Linked DNA regions of Drosophila melanogaster. The protein of the gene in region 1 binds, or shares a complex with, the protein of each later gene. Each region holds a gene or a part of one and is shown on either strand. Other genes may lie near its edges. A codon is read from its position in the direction of its gene.

The links.
Region 2: the proteins of Su(H) (region 1) and H are in contact, whole or in part, in a crystal structure (PDB 5E24), measured with the Drosophila melanogaster proteins. Residues at the interface, in NP_001285948.1 of Drosophila melanogaster: Val431, Leu434, Asn435, Leu436, Ala443, Leu445, Phe460, Val479, Glu481, Ile482, Arg486, Trp489, Gln497, Ile500, Thr512, Gly513, Leu514, Thr515, Phe516, Thr517, Tyr518, Thr519, Pro520, Glu521, Pro522; in NP_732533.1 of Drosophila melanogaster: Gly232 (codon at 264), Gly233 (codon at 261), Arg234 (codon at 258), Leu235 (codon at 255), Gln236 (codon at 252), Phe237 (codon at 249), Phe238 (codon at 246), Lys239 (codon at 243), Asp240 (codon at 240), Ile244 (codon at 156), Leu245 (codon at 153), Leu247 (codon at 147), Arg249 (codon at 141), Trp258 (codon at 114), Val259 (codon at 111), Ser260 (codon at 108), Arg263 (codon at 99).

What each region holds. Positions count from the first base shown.
Region 1 is NT_033779.5:15,034,117-15,043,459, forward strand, and holds Su(H) (suppressor of hairless), read left to right. Parts: upstream 1-5,371; 5' UTR 5,372-5,820; coding exon 5,821-6,204; intron 6,205-6,978; coding exon 6,979-7,859; intron 7,860-7,917; coding exon 7,918-8,125; intron 8,126-8,190; coding exon 8,191-8,502; 3' UTR 8,503-9,218; downstream 9,219-9,343. Other genes in the region: yellow-c, read left to right, coding at 1,448-1,680, 2,470-2,875, 2,935-3,612; CIAPIN1 (cytokine induced apoptosis inhibitor 1), read right to left, coding at 3,756-3,869, 3,938-4,434, 4,524-4,659. UniProt on the Drosophila melanogaster protein: Transcriptional regulator that plays a central role in Notch signaling, a signaling pathway involved in cell-cell communication that regulates a broad spectrum of cell-fate determinations.
Region 2 is NT_033777.3:20,614,195-20,623,537, reverse strand, and holds the start of H (hairless), read right to left. Parts: upstream 1,601-9,343; 5' UTR 1,043-1,600; coding exon 1,040-1,042; exon of another isoform or gene 955-1,039; coding exon 240-954; intron 168-239; coding exon 1-167. Other genes in the region: CG5466 (uncharacterized protein), read right to left, coding at 3,183-3,376, 3,456-3,676, 3,910-4,974, 5,031-5,323, 5,436-5,447; CG15923 (uncharacterized protein), read left to right, coding at 6,694-6,958, 7,787-8,745, 8,814-9,343. UniProt on the Drosophila melanogaster protein: Is a potent antagonist of neurogenic gene activity during sensory organ development. The expression of distinct cell fates by the trichogen (shaft) / tormogen (socket) sister cell pair depends on the level of H activity.

The DNA.
Region 1 (9,343 bases):
GATATTTGTTAAGAGTCGTTGGAATTTGTAGTTTAATAATTGGATTGTATTTCATACACATACATACATATAGGGAACGCTGTTAGGGTAGACGTGTAAACTCGAGATCATGTATATTGTATATAGAGCATTTAGCTGCGCCTCCTAAAAACACAGAATTGAACACAGCCACATGAACAGCAACCAAATCTACAAATGCAACAAGTAATCGACATTTATTTTCGAATCCGAATCAATTATTTGCTTTTGTCCTCGAATCACAGCCGAATGAAGAACTTCTAGCCAAGTAAGACACAGTTTAGCCAAGCTAATATTGTTGTATAAATACGAGTAAATAGAAAAAGCAAAGGTTAAATAAATCCAGAATTATTTCAATGGAAACACACAAGAAAGTGAAATTCTACTGTTAGTGACAAAATAAATATGAACCACGACAAATGGTAGCAATATGCAGGAAAAACATAAGGTCAAAGTAATGAAAAACTCGGTATGTTCTTATGAATGTAACACTAACGAATTAATTTAAAGTTTAATAAAACGGAATAAATGAGAATTTTACTGAATAAAAAACACAAAACAGAATTGAACAAATATATCACAGTTATTTATTGGTTTGGGTGTTTAATGTTTATGCCATATTATTACTCTTAGTCTTAATTTGTTTTATTTGTGGGATTTAAGATTTTTAAAACAATTAATGTGCCTTTTTAGAGAAGTCAAATATTTTTAGGCTTAACTTACAGGTAACATTTTTAAATTTCAAGTTCATTTGCTTTTAAAATTTCAGACTCAATTATCAGACATTGTCCACAAATTCGTTTCTTAAAATACAAATCGTTCTTAAAAGCAACAAACATTTACTTCGCATCCCACTCGTGCTGCATTTTAAATGAGAGAATCAATAACCTTTATTCATAAATCAGAGTTTGAATTGTTTATGCAGTTTAATAATTATTAAATGAAAATTTCTTAAAATTTTTTTAAACATGTAAAGGCTTTGGCAATATTATTTTATTTTAAATACTCAAAATTCTTTTTCATTCTGTTATATATATATCAATGCAGTAATTGACCCATTAGTTACAAACTGAAAACGAGGTTCACTGTTCGATTGATTTTATTCGAGCGAGCAAAAAAGTATTTTTAAAGCATTAACAAGTAAATTCCAGATCTTCCTTCCGGTTATGTTGCTAATTTTAAGTCCCAGCCCATCGCAATAACCATTAACTTGCAGCTGGGCACTTGGTATAACAGTTTATAACTCCACGGGATCGAATATCTGTGTACTGTGAGCTTAAAGCTCCGCTTGTTTGGGATCCAAGCCAGCATATTAAGCCCGATTCCAAACTAAGCTCTTGCAGTTAGCGCGCTCAACTCGAACTGAACGGAGGTCCAAAAAAAAAGAAACGAGCAATCCAAAAAAAATCGAATAATTGAAAAATCCAAAATGAACCCACTAGGAATGTTGAGCCTGGGCTTAATGGTGTGCCTTATCGGCGCCTTCAGCCGGATTGCATCGGCCAAGCTGGAGGAGAAGTTCTCGTGGAAGCAACTGGCCTTCGATTGGCCCACTCCGGAGGCCGAGGCGGAGGCCAAGTCGAATGGCCACTACATCGTGGAGAACAACCTGCCGCTGGGCGTGGAGCGTTGGCAAAACAGAATCTTTGTCACTGTGCCAAGGTAAGTAACCAAATTCATAGACAAAAAAAAAAGAGACAACAAACTTACGGTAAGCTGTAGTTAGGTTTTCTTTTTTTTTCTTATTATTTACCTTTTTTGTTGGCTTGGTTTGTAATTAAATGTCAAGCTAGACTTGCAAAATCATCGAGCGTCAGGAGGGGAAACCGGTTTCCTCGCTGGCTAGTTAACTTTATCATTTTTTACCCCATTTGTGTATGTCTATTTTGCATTTTAAATCGTGGTTTCTAAATGCAAATCGTAACATGAGGTTAATTATAAATTAATAAGAGAAAACACATGATCGGAAAATTCTATGGAATATTATGGATCCCATAAAAGGCTAACTAGGTAACTAGTAAACAAAGTCTTTGTGACGTCACCTTTTTGGGATTTACCACCGATGCGCTTATTGGCCAAAAAGCCCCGAAAACCATTCTGCTTTTCGGGAGATATGAGTAATCAAAACAAAATTCGATTTAAAAACATTTCGAAAAATAAGATACGTAAAAAAAGTATATTTTGTTGATAATACAGCATAATTATTTAAGCTATAGTTGCCGTCAAAGTTTTAACTGATAGTGCTAAGATATAAATTAAAACTATAGCTTATATTAGACTATATCCAATCAGTCATAATAATTGCGCAGGTGAATGGTACTTTTTAATGTTATTAATTTGTTACTTGCCAGTGTCAGGTTTAAATGTAATTAGTAACTAAACAAGTCTGAAATGTAAATTTTTTAGTTAATTTATTTCTCCTCATTATTAAATGATCTACTTTCCCTTTAGATGGAAGGCTGGTGTTGCTGCCACACTCAACTACATCGACATTAATTCGACGGAGAAGTCGCCAAAGCTGCATCCGTATCCCAGTTGGGAGGCCAACAAGCTGCCCATCGATGTGCAGCCACAGGACCAAAAGACACCATCCGGTGGACGTCTGGACGCGGACAAGGCTCAAGATGCCGGCATCCAGCTGAAGGACAACTCCACTGTCATTTCCACCTTCCGAATTCAAGTCGACGTATGCGATCGCCTGTGGGTGCTCGATACTGGCTTGGCCGACATCCTGGGCAGTCCCAAGCAGATTACGCCCAATTCAATCCTGGTTTTCGACTTGAAAACAGATACTTTACTGCGCCGTTTCACCATTCCCGCTGATCAGACCAAAGAGGACTCGTTCTTTGCGAATATTGTGAGTATGCATAGGCGTATTATTTAAATTCCAAACTGATCGAATTAATCAATATTTAGGTTGTGGATGCGGACCGCTCGGAGTGCCAAGATGCCTTTGCTTACATTCCGGATTTGGGTGCCTACGGTGTGATTGTGTACTCCCTGAGGAACGACAAATCCTACCGCGTCAAGCACAACTTCTTCCACTTCGATCCTCTGCATGGTGATTTCAATGTGGGCGGCGTGAACTTCCAGTGGACGGATGGCGTTTTTGGGCTGGCCGTGGGCCCAATGAATCCAGATCACTCCAAGGACATTTATTTCCATGCCCTGGCCAGTACCAAGGAGTTCAAGGTTTCGAACCGCGTGCTGCAAAACGAATCACACGTGACCGCTGGCGATTCGTATTACGATTTTAAATACGTTGGTGACCGTGGCATGAATGGCCAGTCCACCGCCGAGGTCTTTGACCCCGAGACCGGCGTCATCTTCTATACGCAGGTGAACAAAGACGCCATTGCTTGTTGGAACATCAAGCGTCCATACACTCCGGACACCCAGGGGCTAATCGATTCCGATTCGCACACTCTGGTCTTTCCAAATGACATGAAAATCGACAATGAAGGCACTATTTGGGTGCTGTCCGACAAGATGCCGACATATTTGTACAAGGAACTCGATCCCTCGGCCGTCAACTATCGTATTTTGATGGGCCAGAACCGCGATCTCATCAAGGGTACACCATGCGAAATGTGATCACTTGGATATTTAAATCTACATGCTGTGTTTATGACGCGGTGCATTTTTGTATTTACATTATGACATTATTGTTTGTTAGTAAGTCAGCTTAATAAACTATTTGAAATGTGATTGATTGGGTATACCATGGTGAGCCTAAGTTAAATGTCGGATTTCAGGAGGTTGTCGGCCAGTTGCACCTTCTCACCGGGCTTAAAGGCGGGCATGCCCAAATAGGGGCAAGTGGAGCAGCGGAAGGCGTCGCCGAGATAACACTGTGCATATAAGAAATCAGTTATAATCGAGGTTAATGCTAACTCACATCGGGGTTAAGAGAACTCACATTTCCACAGCTTGACTTGGCATTCTCGGTGGCCTTCTGGCTCTGTTTTTCAGTCTCCAATTCCTCGGCCAGCCCGCAGGAGCAGTTTTTGCACGCCTTGCGCTTGCCCGTGGTGCTACAGACACGCAGACCAGCCGGATCCGGCTTCTGTTTGTCTTCCTCGTCCAGCAGCTCCTCCTCATCGATCAGTTCCTCATCGTCACCGCTTATCTTCCACACATTGACTGCACTGGCGTTCTTCTTTGCGAATGACAACCTGGCTGAGGATCCTGTCTCGTAGCCAGGCTTCTCGGCGGTCAAAGCATCTGGAGAGTCCTCGCGACAGTTTATGAATCCGGATAGCTTGATCTCCTGCAGCAAACTAGCCGCCGGACCGATGTAGGACACCAAATGCAGTTTGCCACTCGGTTTCAGCATGTGCAGCAGTTTTACGTAACTGTCGGTCAGCTGGGCGCACTCGATCACAATCAGGTCGAAACTGGAGTTGGCATAGGAAGCTGTAATGCATAAACATCACTGATTTTAATCTGCTGACTCACTGGCTAGTCAAAAACAGCACACACACACCGCACCGCACGCAACTTACAAAACGAAAGGCGGTGCACATTTTCCAAAGCCACATCGCCGCCAGTGGCCGCCTTTAGTTGCTCCACGCGCTTGTCCAAGTCGGCGCTGTCCGTCCATATGTATAGGGATTTTTGTAGACCCTTAAAGTTCTCCATTGTGGATGTGTTTCTAGAATATCTCAAAAGTTCAAGCACCGAACGGAACCGATTTTTGATTTCACAAGTTAGATATGGCAATGCACCGAAAATCGAGCGGTGATATCGATTGTACCTGCCTATCGGATTGCAAATGATATTCAGTGATTGTAGATTTTTCCACTTTACACTGTGACTGCTAAAATATATGAATAACTAAGTGTACTCCACCAGATTCGTTTTTTAATGAGTTACAGCTTACATTCTGATACATAATTAACAGCTTTTAGTTGCATATTGTGTGTTTCTGCCACTAAACCTATTTAAACGGTTACATTTAAGCCTAAAGTCGCGAATTATCTTTTAAATTCACCCATGTGTACTTTCCCACGGCCCGTTTTAAAAATGCATGGACAGTTAGACAAGAAGGTTGGTAGTTTGTACCTTGAATTTTAAATGTGGGCGCTCAAAATCGAAGTGTTCAATGAAAATCGATACCTTTCGCATCAGTTAAAAGTATTTATAGATATAAGAAATAATATCTTTAACAGTGATGTGATGGGAATAAATATACAAATGTATTCAGAAACTGCAAAGTTAAAACAAAATATATTAGCTACTCCAAATTGGCTATAAAATAACCAAATGCCCACTGCCATCCAAATCCAACCAACAGTGCTGTGAAGCGACAAACATATCGCCGGTAGGCAGCGACTATCATAAATAAGCGCCTATCGGACTATCGATACAACATCAACATCCTCAGTCGCTTTTTTAGTTGTAGCATATTATAAATATAACTCGAGCGCTAGTTGCAGCCTTAAACAGAAGCCAGCCGCCACTACCGCTAGTCGCTAGTCAAGATCTGCTCGAAACGCTGAAATATGTGTGATTAGTCGTGAATCGCAGCTAGCCGCAAATCCAGCTTGAGCTACAACAACAAAGCCAATCCGCGGTTAAGAGGAAGAGAGTGCGTGAGAGAAACGACAGCTGCTCTGCGTGTGTGTTTGTGCAGCAGGATAACAAAATAGAAAACATACAGCAGCAACAACAACAACAAAAACAGCACCAGCGAACAGTGTATAAAGTGCCAAACGAATTTGCCAAATAGCCAAAAACGAAATAATAGAAAAGATCCAAACAAAATTCCAATAAGTTCAATGCAAGGAGACATGTGCATAAATGAAGAGCTACAGCCAATTTAATTTAAACGCCGCCGCCCCGCCCGCCATTGCCTACGAAACTACGGTTGTAAATCCCAACGGCTCACCCCTCGATCCTCACCAGCAGCAGCAACAACAGAGCCAGGATATGCCGCACTTTGGACTGCCCGGTCCGCAGCCGCCGTCGTCGCAGCAGCAGCAACAACAATTGCAAGTGCACCACCAACAGCAGCAGCAGCAGCAACAACAACAACAACAACAGCAGCATCAACAACAAATGCAGATGTCCTTGCTGCCGGGTCCTTACCGGCCACACATCGAGGAGAAGAAGCTCACGCGGGACGCCATGGAGAAGTACATGCGCGAGCGCAACGACATGGTCATCGTTATCCTGCACGCCAAGGTACGAAAGGATTTCCACTTTTAAGCCGGTATTATCAGGTGCTTGGTCTGGATTTAGTATTCAAGATATTCTAAAACATACAAGGGAACTCCTGAGTCTTAAGTCTTAATTAAATTATTTGAAGCTTGAAATACATTATTTCAATATTACTAAAAATATATTAACCCAAACTGGAGAAACGTAGGATATCCTAACTTTCATTTAAATTAGAAACTTGGTCAGTTTTGTACGTCGATTTCCTAAATTATTCGATTTTTTAGATTAAATAGATTAAATTCAGATTTTCTTTCTATTTCAAGTTTAACGATGTATCCTTTCTTTGAAAATTACTTGTATGCTTTACAAGATATTTATTTTTTTTTTATAATTTAGTTTTAATCTAATCGGTCAGTCCGCAACGCCAAAACCACACCCACTATTTAAAGGTGCTAGTGTTTCCATTGTCCACTTTAAAGTGTTACATTTTTGCGGTTTTTGGCGAACGCAGACATGAAAATGGAATAAAATTGTCGCGGTTGCTTTTAGCGGTGGCGATCTTCAAGCGACGACTGCCGCCAAATGGGAATCCTTCACACTCGACTGCCCGCAAATTGAGCAACGCGAGCGCGGTCCAGTCCGCAATGAAAATAATTGAAATTAATTACAGAAAATTAACAAAGCTGCATTGCTTGCGGTTTTGATATGATTTTCCGATAATCTGGACGGCAATTTGTACTAATTGAATTTTCCCTGCACCATCGTGCGCCTCTGTCTGTCTGTCTGTGTGAATTCCAGGTGGCCCAAAAGTCCTATGGCAATGAGAAGCGATTCTTTTGCCCACCGCCGTGCATTTATCTGTTCGGAAGTGGCTGGCGCCGGCGGTACGAGGAGATGTTGCAGCAGGGCGAGGGCGAACAGGGAGCACAACTATGCGCGTTCATCGGTATCGGGAGCAGTGACCAGGATATGCAGCAGCTGGATCTCAATGGCAAGCAGTACTGTGCGGCCAAGACGCTCTTCATCTCGGACTCGGACAAGCGAAAACACTTTATGCTGTCGGTGAAGATGTTTTACGGAAACGGTCATGACATTGGCGTTTTTAACTCGAAACGGATCAAGGTTATATCCAAGCCGTCCAAAAAGAAACAGTCGCTAAAGAATGCCGATCTGTGCATAGCCAGCGGCACCAATGTAGCCCTGTTCAATCGCCTGCGTTCCCAGACTGTCTCCACCCGTTACCTTCACGTGGAGAACGGACACTTTCATGCGTCGTCAACACAATGGGGAGCTTTTACGATACACCTGCTGGATGACAATGAGTCCGAGTCGGAGGAGTTTCAGGTGCGCGATGGTTACATTCATTACGGAGCCACAGTCAAACTGGTGTGCTCCGTAACGGGCATGGCCCTGCCACGTCTGATCATCCGGAAGGTAGACAAGCAGATGGCCCTGCTGGAAGCCGACGATCCCGTTTCTCAGCTGCACAAATGCGCCTTCTACATGAAGGATACGGATCGGATGTATCTCTGTTTGTCGCAGGAGAAAATCATACAGTTCCAGGCCACGCCGTGCCCCAAGGAGCCGAACAAGGAGATGATCAATGACGGCGCCTGCTGGACCATCATATCCACCGACAAGGCTGAGTACCAGTTCTACGAGGGCATGGGTCCTGTGGCGTAAGTATAGCTTACTTACAACTCAATGGATTAGTTTTCATTTCGTGTTTTCTTCCAGTTCTCCAGTCACTCCAGTGCCAATCGTTAATTCCCTTAATCTCAATGGCGGCGGGGATGTGGCCATGCTAGAGCTGAGTGGCGACAACTTTACGCCGCATCTGCAGGTGTGGTTTGGCGATGTGGAGGCGGAAACCATGTACCGCTGCACAGAGACATTGCTATGCGTGGTGCCGGAGATTTCACAATTTCGAGGCGAATGGCTTTGGGTAGGTTTTCCAATGTAAATCTGTTTAATACGCGCTATAAATTTTACTTTTAATGGTCCTTGCAGGTACGTCAGCCCACGCAGGTGCCCATTTCGCTGGTGCGCAACGATGGAATAATTTATGCCACCGGTCTGACCTTCACGTATACACCTGAACCAGGTCCTCGGCCGCACTGCAATACACAGGCCGAGGATGTGATGCGAGCGCGACAGAACAATAACAATAATAACATCACTAGCATTAGCAACAATAATAACAGCAACAATGCGGGATCGCCGGCAGCCGGCGGTGGCTTGCAACAACAACAGCAGCAGCATCAGGCTCTGCCCTCCATCTCAGAAGTGCAATGGAATAGTCATGGTAGCGGCTTATCCTGAGTGCAGGATTATTGCATCGCACACATATGTATCCTAAGTTATTTATAGTTTTTATCGAAGACCTTAGTTTGTAGATTGACAATTTTTCTCATACTAATTTTCAACCCCTCGTGACGTAAACCAAAATGTGTCCCCTTCTCTCTAAAGTGAATCATACTTTACACATGTATCTAGTGCTAGTTCGGAACCAATAGAATTGTAAATGACACATAAAACTCTGTACATAACTCGAAAAGCTCACTGACATACATACATACATTTGTATGTGCATGAATATACCTTTACACAAAACATGTAATTCTAGTTAAATATACAATTGATGTAAGTTTATAGACGATTTTTAGATGCGGTTGAAATATTTATGATTTTCTTTGCTATGAATTTCCAAAGATCTAAATGAAAAAAAAAAATACTGCGAAATGCATCGGAAATTTTTATTATACACAAGCCAGTAGCCACGCTACAAAAACATTCCATTTCCCTCTTTAGCTTTCTAAAAAGTCGAAGACAAAGTCAAAAAGGGAAAAATTTGTTTCTGTACATACAGTTTTGTTGCATTTTTTTATTAACTTTGGAAATTCGTAGCATTAAAAATCCCAATAAAATATTTTGTAAAATAAAATCGCAACAAGACAAAACAGCGATTTATTTAAGTGTAAGCGAAATGCCTAACATAAATAAAAAAAAGAAATCCCAAATGATGACAAAGAATAATCAAATCATGTCAGCTTATGTTTTTGGTTTAGCGTGATTCTTCTGGTTCACCATTTTTCCTGTGGCCTAAGGTGGAGCGCTGGGGAGGATTGGTTGCCTTAAATTGCTGTGGGAATATTACCCAGTA
Region 2 (9,343 bases), on another chromosome or scaffold:
CGATGTGGAATTCTCGTTCTTTGGATACGCTGTGGTCACCGCCGACGTTGGGGTCACAGTTGCGGAGGTGGCCGCCGATGGAGGGCGGAAGGTCTTGCGCGTGACCGAAACCCAGCCGCTTTTATCGCCATCCTTGGACCGCGCCAGTTCCAATATGAATTTGCCATCTACGCAGAATAGTTAAAAAATGGTTTTCTTTACACTGCTCTGATTCGGTATAAATAAACCAAGATACTTACCTTTAAAGAACTGCAAACGACCACCGTAGCCGCCCCAGCTGTTGTTGCCGTGCGTCGATATTGGTGTCCTGCCCATATCAAAGCTTCCGCCGGAGTTGCTTCCCTTGCCGATCTTCGCTGTTCCCGCTGCCGCCGCTACTACTGCAGTGGTGGGCAGTGAGCCTGTTGCAGCTCCGCCCAAGGAACTGTAGTCCAGGACGCCCCCCAGGACATCGATGGTGGGCTTGGACGCAGTAGCTCCAACGACGCTGGCTGCCACTGCGGCGGACGCAGCCATAATGCTACTACTTTTGGGCGTCTTGGCATGCGGCAAAAAGCCATTTGAGGCGGTGGAGCTGGAGGATGAGGGCGTTGTCGTTGTCGTGGGCGTGGTCGTCCTGCTTAAGTTGGCGGGCAGAGGCGGTGGCAGAGGGGGGTAGCTGGTGCTGCTACTGCCGTTTAGGCCATTTTTCAGTAGAAACTTGGCGGCCGCCTCTGCAATTATGCTACTAGTATTGTTGTTGCTGTGGCTGCTCTCGTTGCTGGTGTTGTTGTTTTTGCTGTTGCTGCTACTTGCTGCGTCGTCGTTGCTGTTGTTGTCGTTATTGCTGCTGCTGCCGTTGTTGTTGTTGTTGCTGGAGTGACTGCTGTTACTGTTAATGTTACTTTTATGCTCATCGGTCATTGTTGTCTGTCTGTTGCACTCTGCTACGCTTGTGACGTCATTAAGCAGGGCCTTCAAAGAGAAACATTCGTTTGCATTGGGCAAGTTAGGCACAATTTCGCATTTCCAAACCGCATTATATGGACAATTTAAATACCATTTAATTCATTGTTTTTGTTGTAAATTCCTCGCGCAAAGTTCGCGGCCGGGAAAAACGGAGCCGACGGCGTCGCTAAGCAAAATATGCCAGCTCGGCACGGCGTTAGGAGCGTCTAGCACCATTTTCATGTTTTGGGGCACGGTACCGTTCCCTATTTTTATTGCACACACATATTCTTATTGCATTTTGGCCATTGGCCCATTCCACTGTACGTTATTTAACCAATTTCACAGGCACACACGGCGGGCCGTTCTGCTTATATGTGTTTCTTACAGGCCCAAATGTTAAGCGGAGGCAGCGCACAAAGAGAGCACAAAACGAAGTGCGGACAAGGTGGAGATAAAATGGAAAAAACGTTCTCCAATTACCGTCAGCGTATATATCGATTGCCGAATAGTGTGTGAAAGCGGAGGTCGGTGGACCGGACCGATAATTCCGTGGTCAGCGGGCAGTTGGGGGCAGCTCTATTTCCAACCAATAAACTAATAAATAAATTTAAAAATTATCAACGAAAAACGCAGCTCGGTGCGCTGTGTGACCGTCAACTAAGAACGTCAAAATCCACGGCGCCAGTCAGCATGCTAGCAAATATCATGTTTCCACTGGCCAATGTTATAGTGCTGCATTCGCTGCACGTTCACATTAATGTTATCTCAATGTAAGCTTACACACAGGTCGCTGCAAAAAGCTAGTGCAAGGAACTCCCAAAATAAAATGCTTAATAATAAAAAGAATTGTGTTCTTTGAACTACATCTATTTGGTAAAAATCCTAAATCCTATATTTTTACAATTCAAGTCAAATAAGATTACGAATTCTGGCAATTAGCGATAGTTATCAATGCTTAAAAGCACAATCTTTAGCGAACGATTTTTAAAATAGTAACGGTTTTAAATATGAAATAAAATAAACAACTAAAATCACAATCGGGACAGTTTATAAAACGTAATAAATGGTCGCTTTTTATAGCAATTGTTCAACTCAACTTTAATTTCAGGATTGAAATTGGAAAACTTTGCAACCGAAAACATGCTTTTAAAAATGTTTGATTAAAACAATGTTGTATTTTCACTAATTTATGCTGTTTCCAAAATATATTAATTAAATTTCTAGCACCTGAGATTATTAATTTGGAATACCTGTAGGGTTTTAAAGATTTTCAAGGCGAAAGTTTAAGGATATGACTTAAAGCAGTTAATAATGTTACATTGAAAAGTTCTTCTTTGTCGTAGAATAAAATATTTATTTATTATTAAGTCCAGAAGTTAAACATTAAGCGATAATATGGTATGTTACGATAAATTCCCACACATCAGCTAGGTAAATACTTATGGTTGCAGGTGTCTTTTTATTGCGTATAATACTGTTTGCTCGTTTATCGAATTTCTGGTAATGGTGAGCTCGGGCGGGTTAAAATATATATTTAAATAGCCCTTGCATGCGGAGTACAACCCTTCTTCAGCTTCTTAAATTTAAACACAACTCGTAATGTCGCTTTCGCCACCGCGGCCATCCGCCAATTGTTATTCAGATACTCTGAAGTCCTAATGCAAAATATAATGTAAGTCTTACGCGTCTATCATGTCCGATTATCAGTAGGTTAGTTTAAGTATAGGCTACATTCGAGTTGCTTTTGATATGGGCGAAAAGTCGTCGATTGCACGAGAACGGCTAAGAATATATGCTTAGTAGATATTGCACAAAGTAAAAAGTAAGACATTACAACAGAGGGCACACAACGTAATAAATTAAATTTAGTTTTGTCTTCCGTTTGCCAACATAATTCAAATATCACAGACGTTTTGCCAATTGTTTAACTAATTTGCCGATTTGCTTCATAATTTTGCATGCCAAACTGGAAAACAAAGAGTGATGGGAATCAAATTCAAGCCGCGGGATTCGATACATATGTATGCCTAAAGGTCAGTCAAATGTGGAAAATGTGAAATCAAGTCTTGTGTTGAACATGGCACGTAATTGCTAAAAGGAAAACTGGAGCCACGCCTACGAGGGTAAATTGCTATGCCTATCATCTATGCTTTTCTCTGCGTGTAAGTACTAAGTGTTCTCTAACTGCTGGAAGAATGTGAGTGGATAAATCCGGAGCTATTGCATGCTACCCGATGAGCTCCAGCCCGCATCTAGTGCATGTTGCCCGATGGCAGACCCAAGGCGGCGCCCAGGTTAAGTCCTGCAGGGACACCCACTCCTACTCCCGCGCTCACTCCTGATCCCACGTTGCCCTCGCTCTCACTTTTCCAGGACGACACGGGTATGTGAGGAGCTGGGAGGCAGTTGCGCAGCGTCTGCACGATCTGAATGGTGTCCATGAGGGCTGTCGGGGAAGAGAACGAGCAAGCAGGAGGCGGTCAGCATCGCAGATAGCGAAACCGGTTCCCAGCCAAGGTACTCACTTTTCTGCAGACTCTCACTCTGCTTGCCGTAGGGCTTGCACATCGAGGGACGTATGTAGGTTTTCATCCGCGACATGTTTCGCATCAGCTCCGCAAAGATGCGCACTATCTTGTCCTGACCCACGGCCAAGTGATCCATTCGATTGGCATCGCCGGTGGCCCAGGCTCCGTTGTGCAGCGCCAGCAGATCCTTATTCGATTCTATTGAGTCCAGATTGGAACTGAAATCGGAAAAGTTAAATGAATTCAATTAAGGGCCTAAAGCAAACATTTAAAAGTGATCAATTTACTTTACATATAGCAAATAATAAATAATATTGTAAACAACCTAATTCGTTACTTATCAAATACATACAATATTTTTTGTTTGTTTTAATAAAAAAATAAGTCTTTGTACACATGTTTTGCCAAGAAAAAGAATTTAAAATAATAATATCTAATAAATCTCACCCACCGCAAGGAGTCGGCGACGTTCTTGTGGGTAATCTGGTCCAACGAGGAATGAGAGGAAGACGAAGAGGATGAGTGTGGCGACTGCGATGGCGGTGGCAAGGGATGGTGTCCGTGATGGGCCTGCGGGCCGGCTGCAGCTCCTCCTGCAGCAGATGTAGTCGTAGCCGCCGGAGTCTGCTGATTGGCGGCGACGGCGGCAGCCACTGCCTGCGATTGCATCAGGCCTTGGATTTGAAGATTGGCGGCTGCAGCCGCAACGGCCATGGGATCAAAGTGCTTTGGATCCAGCTGGGCGAAAACTCGCTGCTTTTCCAGCGGACTGAGGTGGTTGCTAAGCTTCTCTAAATTTTGCTGGGCGAGGACACGGTTTTGCTGTTGGATGAGGGCAGCAGTCAATTGCTGCTGGTGCTTGGCTGCTGCTTGCTGTTGTTGTTGCTGCTGCTGCTGCTGTTGCTGTTGTTGCTGCTGTTGTTGTTGTTGATGATGAGCGGCGGCAGCACTGATCTGGGAGAGCTGCGTCTGGAGAGTGCTCTGCTGCTGCTTGGTCAGGTGCTGCAACTGCGGCGGCACCGGCACCTGGGGCACCTTCGCGCCCGTCGACTTGGACAGATCGATTTCCACGTTCGCCGAACTCGAGCTGCTTGCCACGCTGGAGGTGGATCCGGCTGCGGAGCCTCCTGGCCCAGATCCGGCTGCTCCCCCAGGCGGCAGATGCGCCAAGCGCTGCAGGAACTCGGGAGTGTTTACGCCCGGATACTGCTGCTCCATGAACGGCATGGGCGAAATTCCCATGTGGTTTTTATAGTAGCGACATGCGGGACTTGGGCAGGACTGCACCACCTCGATGATGAACTCTTTCTCCATGCCGAACTGATCCCGACCGATGGTGTACGACTCAATGACTGCCCTCACCGTGGCATCGACACTAAGGTGCAGGCCGTGCGGACCTGACATGTGCTTTAGCATGACCGCATTGGCAAAATGCTCAAAGGGCAAGACAATCTTTCCATTGTCGCGCAGTATTAGCCGTCCCTGGGAGTCCAGGGTTAAGCGGTTGGCCAGGACTCTGCAAACGAGGAAGTTATGAGAACGGATCTGAAAAAACCCACAACCCCTACTTACTGCAGATAGGCGGCGCTGGGCAGCATGGCATTGTCCTTGAGATCGCTGAAGCACTGCAGCAGCTCAGCACTGGGATTCCAGCCTTTGTTCTGCAGATACAGCTGCAGCAGCATGTACAGCTTTTCCGTAACATAGCCCACTCCTGGCATTCCAGCATTTGGCTGCGGCAGCATATCTCCGCCTGCCACGCCCCCGCCACCGGCACCACCACCGGGTCCTTTGGACAGAGCCGCCTTCATGGTCTCAGACAGATCCAATTTGTAGTTATCAGGATAGAAATGCTTGGAGTGCTCCTGCAAGGATCGCAGTGATTAGTTCACACAATCGGAAACAGAGACACCCAAGATCTGAGCTTGAAATCGAGCCCTGCTACCTCCACTGCCACCGCCGTCACCGCCCACTTACCAAATTGTTCATTTTCGTCTGGGACTGCGAATATCTAATCTGTGCGGCGCCAGTGCAGCATCCTGGATTCGAATGACCAACGGTTGCTGTCGGGAATCACTCGTCGGTCGGGGGACGAGACTGGGCTAACTGGCGGCCACGGATCGGGGGAAAAAAACTGTATGTGTCCGCCGCCTAATTGTGTTGTCCTTGCAAGGAAGAAGTGGGGGAGGCCATCAGTGTGACCGTCGCACGTCGCGGCCAAAAGCTCTAAAAACGACAGACAGCTTTATGCCCGACTTTCATATACATAAGCAAATAATTTAACATTTGTTGGCGTATAAACATAAACATAAACATTGTTAATGCGCTTAAAAATTTACTTAAGGCATATAGATATTTTTTTGCAACTGTTTAAGATTTGATTAGTACAGCCAATAGTCTTAGCTTTCGCAGAGCTCAAATTCTAATGCATCTAACTGCCAAATATTCTTTTTTAAGCTAATAAAAAAGTGTGCTTGAAATCTATTTGTTTTTTAAATACAAATATAATGATTAGTATGAGCTTATATTATATTATATCCTATAGCTACCACATTAAAAAAGTTATATTTTAGAAGTGAATTGAAAAAATAAATAATATAGGAAAATAATTGTAAAAGCGATTTAGCTTATTATACAATCTGAATTATTTATTTTTATTTTTTATTTATTATTATCTTACTAATTTAATTTTTGCAAAAACCATTCAAACCCATTTAAAAACGTAGAAGTGCAAAAGAATTGACTATACAAATGGTCTCTTTAGAGAGAATAATTAATTAAGTAACCCAACAAATAATTCCTTTACGTAGGATTTAATTTCTAAAATAGTCCTTGCTAATTTACATACCTACAAATTGTATGCAAAATCCTAAGAAAGTAACTAATAATGATGGCAATCACAATTTTGAGCACGCAAGTGCTGGAATATGAAAGGAAACCCAGCAGGTAAAAAGTCTCGAGGACTCATTACACTTAAGGTGGCCTCCTGGTCAAAGGACATTCGGCCGAGAGGGAGTAAGCACCTGAGCCAACCCTCCGGATAATGGCCATTTTGCATGCGTGCCCGGCGAAAATCGGGGGGTTGGGTAGCTATAGCAACACCACTCCCTCCACGAGTCCACTTGTTTACTTGCCTTCCTGGGCGACTTCCAAATTGCAGCTGCAATCGCTCCAGGGAATTCAGTACCCTTTCGAATATTGAAGAGCGAGCAGCGACTCCTAAAATCAGAACAGGATGAGGATGAGGATGAGGTGCTTCTCCCGGGCTATCAACTGGTGTTGTGCTCTTTTCTGGATCGCCTTACAAATTCCAGTGCCCATCTGCTCGCTGACCACCGCGGCCACAAATCCCTCGCAGCTGCCAACGCCGCACACTTTTCGCTTCCAGAATCCGACGCAGTGCCTCAAGAACGAGTTCTACAACCTCAACCTATTCGACTGTGTGCCCTGCAATGAGGTCGCCGGCGGAGATGGGGTTCAAGGAAAACTGCAACCCGACAGTGAGTGGTAGTATTGATCAAACAGAACCAAAAGGGGTGCCATGTGAAGGGGCAAGGACCTGCATGCTACTCAAGAGAAAGTATTCATTTTCAGCTGCAAAAGAGCTGTAATATTGTATATACCAAATTTAATATTCGGTTATTTAAACATTTTATTGGTTTAAGGTTTTGTCATTGAAAGCGACAAGGCTTTTTGCGATTAATATATTTTTTATAGGTCACAGACCTCGAATACTTAAGATTTATTCACATCAGTATTTGTCACTTAGCACAATTTGCAAACTTCACACAAATTTTATTTTGACGATCTCGAAGAGGAAATACTATAATCAAACAATTTTTAATATTAATATATTAATATATTTTTAATATTTCGAACTAATATAAATTAAACTATTGGTATTCTTAATAGATTTCCTCAACGATTTCCTGTTGTTTGATTTAATAAGTAAAGTATTTGTAATCAGTTATTTAAAATATGTATAAATAGTGCAGATAATAAGGACATTGTTGTGTAAGAAAACTAAAACTCGTTTTAGGGGTATTTATACAAAAAAAAAACAAGATAAACTTTTTAGTTTCGCTTTGAATTGAATTGAAAGTTGTATACTGTTTTTATATATATAATATCTTAAAATGATTGATAATTGTGACAAAATGAATAGATTAGTTTATATACATTTTCAATCCTTGATCATATGATAGATCTATGAATATAGGATATGCATTCGTATGGTTAGAAGAAAGTTTTACTATGTTACTGAAATAAAAGCTTCTTGTTTATTGCCCACCCAGAATTCACCTGCTTCTTGTTTATTGCCCACCCAGAATTCACCTGCAAGTGCCCGGCTGGTCATCTGTCCATCTATGAGCGCGGCAAGACGTGGCCCACCTGCGATGAGATTTGCACTCCGGACAGGAGCGACAATTGCACTTCGGTGTGGCTACCCCAGCCTCGACCTACCAATCAGTGCAGCTATCGGTATCTGAACTCCACGGCAGCCTTCGCCAGTCAGTTGCCAGTGCATCCACTCATTTCCGGCATCATACTGACCCATACAAATCCGATGAGCAGAGCGGGAGATTGCCATTCCTGCGATATGACGCACAATTTCCGGTATCAGGACTTCTGCTTGGCTAGCACCCTGCTCCGACCGTATGTGCACTACAACGCCTTCTGGCAGGCGACAACCACGCCGGATTCAAGTGCACCCAGCCGCTTTGGTGAGCTCAAGTTTGTGGCCTTCTTTTGCCTGACACTGCGCAACGATACCGCCTGCCAGCAACTGGCCAATCTGTGCGTGCTTTCCCATTTCTCCCTGGAAAAGCACTCGCCCTGCAGCGCCTTCCTGCTTACCCAGGTCTCTGATGTGGTCATGAAGTATGCCCACTCCGGCGAACAGGTGCGATCCCTGCAGCCGTTCCTGTTCTACAAGAAGGGTCGGGCTACCAAGGAGCTGCTTTCGAAGACGCTTCAGCTGCCGGATCGCAAGGAGCTGCGCCTTTTTAGCACCACATTTGGTCTAGATGGCGGACTCAAACGGTGGGGTGCCTTTCATCCGGAGATGCTGAACATGTGCCAACAGAAGGCGCCTAGCCTCCGAGTGGCTCTACCCAAGAGGGAGTCGGAGGTATCTTGTCAGCTGACCCTAGAGCGTCTCATTGACCTGGCCAACCAACGGCACAACGCCGAGTTTCTCACCGTGTTTCTAAACTTCAGTAGTAACTGGCAGTATTTGCTTCACCAGTTACCTGTACTCATCGAGACCCTGACGCCGGAAAACCAGGTGAGGAGTGTGATGTACTCAATTAGATAGAACTTAATCTCAGTTCCGTAATTTCTTCATCTGTCCAGCGACCCCAGCAGGAGGAGTGGCAGTTGGTGAAACGTTTCCAGCTGATCTCCGCCTCGCCGCGGGATAGTCATCTTCACCAGACCATGCCGCGCTACGAGGATGCCCACAAGCTGCAGCAATATTACTCCTTACGATATGTGGAGGACATCGAAATTCGTTATACGCTGGACAAGGATCAGCCGGATAGAGTGGGTCTGCCGCTCATTCGCCTGCGATACCGACACATAGAGATGGGATCGGGAAATATATCGCTCTCCCAACTGTACCCATTCACCCTGAGGATTAGCTACGACCAAGTAAAACGTGGTTGGGATTGGTTGATCTTGGAGGTGGCGCTGCCGCTGCTCCTTTTGCTGGCCTTTGCAGCTGCTGTCTTCCGTCTCCAGAATTTGAGAAGAAGGCGGAAGGCGGACCTCTGTCAGATGAGCAGTCTTATGGAATTTCTCCTGCAGCTGGCCGGAAATGTGGCATATGCTCTGCTGGCGACTACTCTGCTGCTCCTACTGCTGCAAGCCTCCAATTCTCGCCT